Linked DNA regions of Coturnix japonica. The protein of the gene in region 1 interacts with the protein of each later gene in a pairwise test. Links are inferred from orthologs where the notes say so. Each region holds a gene or a part of one and is shown in the gene's direction. Other genes may lie near its edges. The genes, in order: PAK1 and RHOJ.

The links.
Region 2: the proteins of PAK1 (region 1) and RHOJ interact in binary tests that used the Homo sapiens proteins (3 or more experiments, as listed by UniProt). The link is inferred for Coturnix japonica from reciprocal best matches to the Homo sapiens genes PAK1 and RHOJ.

Annotation. Positions count from the first base shown.
Region 1 is NC_029516.1:172,845,690-172,849,514, forward strand, and holds part of PAK1 (serine/threonine-protein kinase PAK 1), read left to right. Parts: intron 1-1,134; 5' UTR 1,135-1,155; coding exon 1,156-1,345; intron 1,346-3,825. UniProt on the Homo sapiens protein: Protein kinase involved in intracellular signaling pathways downstream of integrins and receptor-type kinases that plays an important role in cytoskeleton dynamics, in cell adhesion, migration, proliferation, apoptosis, mitosis, and in vesicle-mediated transport processes.
Region 2 is NC_029520.1:48,567,665-48,571,489, reverse strand, and holds part of RHOJ (rho-related GTP-binding protein RhoJ), read left to right. Parts: intron 1-737; coding exon 738-833; intron 834-1,587; coding exon 1,588-1,734; 3' UTR 1,735-3,825.

The DNA of each region.
Region 1 (3,825 bases):
CCTCCCTGAATGAAACATCTTCCCCTATTGCTTGTGAAATTCAGAAAGCTGTTGAACTGCTTTTCTACCCAAACCAAATCGTTCCTTCTTTGGTCTCTGTCCTTTGGTTAACTCCTAACTTTCTGTTGAGAGAATCATGCAAGTGAATTTCAGTCTCTGGAAGGATCTCTCTGCAACCTGACTTCTGAAGTCAGGCTGATCTCATTTGGGTGGAACAAGCTGGTTGCTGCAGAGGAATCTATTACCCAGTTCACAAGCTTCCGTCTTTAAATCCTCACAGCAGGGTTTATTTACTTAGAGATTAATGTGTATATTGAGGATCAGTGTTCTGGCTGTCTGAATTGTGCTTCAAGTATGCTGCTATGGCAGGAAGGCCGGGGCCCAGCAAACACTGCAGGACTTGACATGGAGGTGACACGGATGCAACACTGATGCTTTCTGCCCATCTCCCTCTGGTGCATTTCAATGCATTTTCAGTGATGGAGCCTGAGTGGCTGTATCCATGCTCTTTGATTGCAAACTTCAGTCCCTGTGCATCATGTTACTGCCTGAGCTGGAGGTTGATGCAAACCTGTTGAGGCAGATTTTGGCAGAGCTAGAATGGATCCGAGAGGTCTTATTTGGAAGAAGGTATTTCTGACAAAGTATTTGTCATAGATGGTGGATTCGCTGTTCTTGGAGGAGTTCAAGAACTGTGGATATGTGGTTAGTGGACATAGTGGAAATGGGTTGGCAGTTGGACTTGATGGTCTTAGAGTCTTCCGGCCTCAATGGTTGTAAGATTATGTTGGCTGCTGTCAGATATCCCTGCTCTCTGCTACCTGGGATTTGCTGCTTTTTCTGCTCACCCTCACCCTACACTTCTGCTTCATGTTATACTTGAGGTCTGGCTGTACCCCGCAAACAAGCTTTTTGTGATAATTAGTAACTGAAACTCTTCAATATAATAGAAATGATTGGGATCTCAAGTGGAATGTGTGCTGACGCTTTGCATTGGTGTGAGGCTGCACGTTTGTCTGAAAATACCTGTGTGTGGTTTATTTGACAGCATGTGATTCTAATTTACAAAAAAAACCCAACTCTAACTCAACAAACCACAAAGCTTCTTACTTCTTTTTCTTCCTCCTTTGCTAGTAACGGCCTCTACATCTGAAGATGTCTAACAATGGAGTTGAAACAGAAGACAAACCACCTGCTCCTCCGATGAGAAATACCAGCACTATGATTGGATCAGGAAGCAAAGACACCGGGACTTTAAACCATGGCTCAAAACCTTTGCCACCCAACCCAGAAGAAAAAAAGAAGAGGGACCGATTTTACCGATCTATTTTACCAGGAGATAAAAGTACAGTATTGTGGCTTTCCTTATAAAACTTATGTCTCAGTTTTGCTCTGGATGGCTGTTGCTTAACGATGGTTTGGAAGATGGCTCATGTTCATTTCTTGCATAGCTGTTGTTGTCATTTTGGGGTATATGTGATGCTGGCTCTAGTTCTGTTTTCTTATCCTAATGATTAATTCTACCACAATTAATCTATCCCTCTTAATCTGCTTTTGTGCTTTTCTTCCCCTTTAATTATGAGAACAGCATCCCTAAAAGACGGGACAAGCTCTGCCAGCTCCTAGCATGACTTATCCATAATGATTTTGAAAATCATATAAACCTTGTGTTCCCAGTTACAAGCTGATGAGTTAAAGCTGCAATTGTCAGTTCCTTTGGTGGGGAAGGGGAAGCTTTTTGCCTGTTTCTTGTTACAGCAAGTATGTGTAAAGCATGAGTAACAGTCCATTTCCTGCCAGGACTGTCACATGTTACTGCATGGTCTGCTGTAACAAGCTTACAGTCGAAGGTGTAATTTCTCATTTATTCTAGATTTTGTGTCATGATTTTTCTACTTGCTGTTACAAACAATTTCTCACCACAAATTCTTGCACGTTTCTTGTGAAGGGAAGGAATTGTCTCCTGTTGCAGACACCGTAACAGATGGAAATGGAGAGAGAAGCTGTGAATTGAAATTCTAAATCATAATGATGTCGATAATTTCCAAACTCTCTCATGAATCTTAAAGTAATATAAGAAAAAAAAATCTCTATCCTGAAGTATCTACTGATTCCTTTTTATATCTGACCTATTTATTTTTTTTTGGACTTCTCTTTCTAGTACATCAGAGTCTGCATTGCAATGGTGTCTGGACATTGGATAACTGAAAGTCTTAAGTACCTGCAACTTGCTTGCCTTCATGAAGGAAGCTGCCTCCTTGATTTTTTGTTACAGAACAAAGTCTAATTGGTGTGCTAATTTAAATCACAGAGATAGAAGTTCAGGGAGAACTTGGATTCGTTTATAGCCATTGATTTTTTAATTCTGCAACCCAGGAACCCGTGAACTCTATTAAACATTTGCAGGATACTGGTTAGAACTTGCCTTTATGTGTATTAATCCTGAAGAACTGTAAGATTTTGGTGTCAGCAGAGTGTTTGTAAGACCTTTAGGCTCAACAGTTGCAGAAAACAAAGAAATAACCTGAAATGTTGAAGATGAAAATAAACATGACATTAAATACTGTAGAATATAAAGGAGATATGGTAACTGAAATGGTAAACAGCTCAGGTAAAAGAGATACTACCACTGATATTAAGCTTTAAGCCTGCACATCCTGAAGTTTGGCCAACATGGCAGATGCTTTCAGACATGAGAGATTTTTGTCTAGCCAAGCCCAACAGAGCCTTCTGTTGCAATGCATCTGCCCAAACTAGAACGACTGCTTCTGTCCTACAATTCTTGTCAAGCAAAAATTAGCTTTAACACCATCACCTCCACTTCTTATTGGCTGATTTTCACCTTAGGAACGTTTTTCTGATCTCAGATGACAACTAAATTCTCTCCTGCTGCTTAACTGCTCCTTACCAGGCTGCTTTGGAAGTGCCATGTTCTCTCTGCAATTGGAAGGTGTAGTTCTAATGTCCCCTGTCCCAGCCTAACCCTTAACTTTAATACTGGATGGAACCTCTCCAAATGCATGCTCCCGTGATATCATATTAGCAGGAGCTGTGACCATTCAAGTCTTTCTGGTTTCAGTCACTTCTTGGGGTGTATGAACCAGGCAAACATGGCACATTTTGTTCTGCTGGTGTTTGCTGAGCTCTGCTGCTGATTCACAAAGAGCCAGAGTAGTACCACGAAGTAATGATGTATAGTGTCTATGAGCCCTTTCCATGCTGGTTTCACTGCTGCAGTTGTGTGGGTATCTTGCATCTTCGGGGCTTTTTGACCCACTACATGGATAACGTGATCACTATAGATGGGGAGTACATGTTCAGCGAGACTGAGTGCCCATCTCTTTAGTTCTTTTCAGTTATATGCCTCCTACCATGTAATACATCTCTACCACAGAAAGCAATTATTAATGTTTGAATGCATTTAGGCTTGTAGGTCTGTTAGATTTTGCAACAAGAGCTTGTGGAAAGCATTGTCTTCTGAGAATTTTGGAGGAATGCTTCTGAATTCATGTGCCACCTTCATGTGCATTCACATGAGGCTCTAATTCAATCTGGGCACTGCAAAACCCTGAAAGAGGCATTCAGGCAGATTTAATAAAGTATACAAGAAAACATTTGTGGATTCACTGGCTGTAACGTTATATCTAAGGCAGAGTGATTTTAGCAAGAGTTATTGAGAGTCAGGAGAAATGCAGACAGTTGAGAATCTGTCGGAAGTGGTTGCAAGAAACTGTAAGGTTGTGGGGAGAGCATTAACTGCTGCTGTGAATGCAGAAAGCTGTCTTCCTTTTTCAGTCTAGAGAAGAGAAGGCTCTGGGGGGACCT
Region 2 (3,825 bases), on another chromosome or scaffold:
AAAACCTATGAACCTGTGGGTTTCCAAGACACAGACTGGACAGAGACCATGAGCTGCAGTGAAGCTAAAGTCAGGAAAACACTGGGCAGTAACCTAAACCAAATTAGAGAAAGAGATCAAATTCTAAGCAAAAATAAACTCCTCATGCCATAGGAAAGTCCAGTTATTCAAACACTGGCTTAGTTTCCCACACTGGAATACTCTTAAACAGCAGTTGTCCCTTGGATAACACTGCTTTGGATAACATACACTCTGAAAATAGGTAGTTTTCTAATGCCAGAATGTTTCACTTTAATATTTTCCATGGAAATAAAGGATTTTGCTTCAAGTCAGCCATCCAGAGCTGTGTTTGTCTGGTCTGTCACTGTGTTTTACAGGTGATGCAGTGCAGGATCACAGCAGACTCCCTTTCCAGTGTGGCTTGGGCTTCTAACGACCCTTTCCATGATGTATTGTGAAAGCCACTGAGAAATGCATCTGTACTATGCTGCAGCCATCTGAGCTGTAGCCTGATAACTGTCCAATAAAAACTAAGCCATATTAAACAGAAAATTTTAAAAGAGAGGAAGAAAGAAAGGAAAATACATATGTAATTCATTTCTGTGTTCTCACCTGAGGCTGTGAGGACAGACATCCTTGTGCAGGGATGTGACTATGGGTTTGCATACCTATGAATATACCTTTTGATAATTACACTAAGGCAGTACTGAGCCTGGGCTTTGTGTGTTTTCTACTAGATTGACCTGCGAGATGATCCCAAAACTTTGGCTCGTCTGCTTTACATGAAGGAGAAACCACTCACCTATGAGCATGGCGTGAAGCTGGCGAAGGAGGTGACAGCTTATTGGAGTCCCATGAAATCAATGGATTGCAGATTTCCATTGGGTTTCATTCATTCAAGGCAAACTCTTAGCACAGATCGTTGGTTGTTCCCAGACATATATCAAACACCCTGGAAGTAGAAACAGATTTTGGCTCCTGAGCCCACTGCTTTGCTGCAACACCCAACCTATCTCCAGGCAAAGCAATAGTGGGGAAAGGGGCAACAAAACACATTTTACTGACTACTTCAGCTAGTAGCAATTAAAAGCTGCCTTTCTGGCACCCTCATACCAAGTCCACCTCTTTCACCACTTCTTTTCCACTAGCAGACCTGCTGGTTATTCATCCTGGGGTGTTTATACTGCTAAGAAGTCTTGAGCCACATCTCAGTCCCTCTAGCCAGTGATAGATAACAAGAACATTGCAGCCCATTTCCTAAACAAATGGGAAATGTGTTTCAAGAGCAACTAATATCCCTACTTTTCATTTCACTGCATCTCATCATTTACTCATGCTTGGTAACCAGAACATAGGGAGAGAAGAACATATCTTTTTTGCAATGATAAATTAGCCAACACTTGGTACTCTCTCACTCAGGATGATCACTGGGGTTGGCCCTCAATTCTGTAGGCAGCCAGATACAAAGCAGTGGTCCTCACCCCTCTTTCTGAAGATCAGGACAATATACACACAGAAGGATGCTGAAGCAGGGTCTCTGTACCTCTCCAGACAGTGGGTACTCACACTTTCTCTCTCTTTTTACAGATTGGAGCACAATGCTACTTGGAGTGCTCAGCCCTCACACAGAAAGGCCTTAAGACTGTCTTTGATGAAGCAATCCTGACCATCTTCCACCCCAAGAAGAAGAAGAAGCACTGTGCAAAGTGCCACAGATGCTGCACCATTCTATGAAGTCACTTAGAAAGGAAAGTGAGATGAGTTCAATGAAACCAAGCAGGTTAGAAAGGCAATGAAGGTCATATACAACTGAAAAGGGGAACATGACCAGAAAAGGGTCCTTTTTACCTAAATAGGAACCCTCCTTTCTGTGAAACCTCCAAGCTGTATCACAATAGGCCAACTCTTGTCTCTGTGCACTCCAAAACCCTCAGAGTTGTATGCAGTCTGTTCCCACCACTGCAGACTGTGCTGAGCCAACAGGAACAAGGATGCCGGCTCCTGCTTGATTCTTCTTCACCCTAGGAATAAGAAGGCACTGAGTAGCAAAAATTAAAAAAAAAAAAAAAAACCTAAAAAAATAAAGGGATGAAAGAAACAGAGCAAACTCCATTTGTGGCCTTAAGCAAGAACTGATCAAAATTAAGAATTTGCAGTACTTAGGAATTTAATCTGAACTGACTGAAAGAACGTGGAGATCTGTAGAAATCTACTATGTAAGATATACACGATAGGTAGGATGTACTTTTGAATTACTTTTCTTTTATAAAACTCATTACTTCAGGATATACTTCCGTTTGTTCAATCTGCATAGAAGCAAAGGCGGAGCGATTCCAGTTTGTCTTCACTTAGCGGTGAAACTTCACAGCGTCAGCATGTTGCTGCACCCAAGCTATCAAAACAGATCAACATTTACCTCCAGACTTAAGGAATGTTCTAAAACGAAAAGAAATGCAAGTAGCTCTATTTGTACAAGGGAATATTCAGGCTGAGCCATGTTTCCGTAAGCTGGAAAAGGAGGAACAGAGTTGTAGTGTTTGTGTATTGAGACAAAGATATTCTGCCACCAAATATTGTCCTGGACATGAAATACCAGCTTGGAACAATCACCTTTCCAAACTGAGAACATGAAAGAGACACATTGCCATGGCAACTGAAAAATTACCTTATAGATCAGCTGGATTTCTACATCACACCCAGCAGACAAAAATAGCGAAAGCCAAAAAGCCAAAGGTCACACTGATCTCAAGTACTTTAGGATGATCCAAGTGCCTTATGATTTTTTTAGAGTATCTCATGTAAAAATCTTATCAAAGCAGAATTATGATCATTGTGATTTCCTGTGGTCCCCTCCTCTTATTCATTACTTTGCTTCACTCTTCCACAGCCTCACTGTGCTAAGACTTAAGACTTAACAGAGTCATAGTTCTCAGCAGTGGACTCAGAAGATGGGCTGCAGTCCTTAGCATGGGAGTGGGAAGACCCTGAGGGAGCACAAGCTGCCCATAAACTCCCTGTGCTACTGGAAAAATTGTGCCTTTCCCCTAAAGCCAATCTGGGAAGCCTGTATTTCTGTATCTCACAGCAACACCAATGCTCAGAGGTGAGTTCAAAGGGCATCTGCCTTTGGGAACAATGGCAATGCCATGAGGTTGTCTTGTGGATTTTGTTCCCCAAGCAGAAAATCATCAAGGCAGAAAATACAGAGACCTCTAATACAACTCCTTGCAACAGCAGAATCTCTATCCGGTGTGTTGACTCGAACTAAGCAGCAAACAGAAGAGAACAATCATGATGCAGTGCCCCATCCTTCACCCATGGAAGATGACGGATCCAAGCTCCTGTTTTCACTCGAGCACAAATTCTATTTACCACAGACACTGACAGAAACCAGATCAGACACAAAACATTTCCAGTAGAGATCAATCAAAACTGGCCAATCTTGAGGTCAGTGCCACCCACCACCTCTTGTGCTGCACGCAAGCATGGACAACAGCTAAAATTATGCTAATGAATAGCTATACAAAAGAGAGGCTTCTTTACTGCTGGCAATCATTGTGCATATCTTCTATCATGTCCCAGAGAAATGGATTGGCTGACACAACACAGCTCGGGGCGAGGATAGAGCTGAGCTTGGTGAAGGAGCTCATGTTGTGCCATAGAAGCTGTGCTGCTGTCCCAGCACTGAGCATTAATACAACAGGGACACCAGTAATCAGCTGATCTGAGATGTGTAACAGGGTGTTAGAAGAGCATGAGGAGAACTAGGAATGGCCAAAAACCCACTGAAAAAGAAAAGAAGGGTTTCAACTGTAAAAATAATGA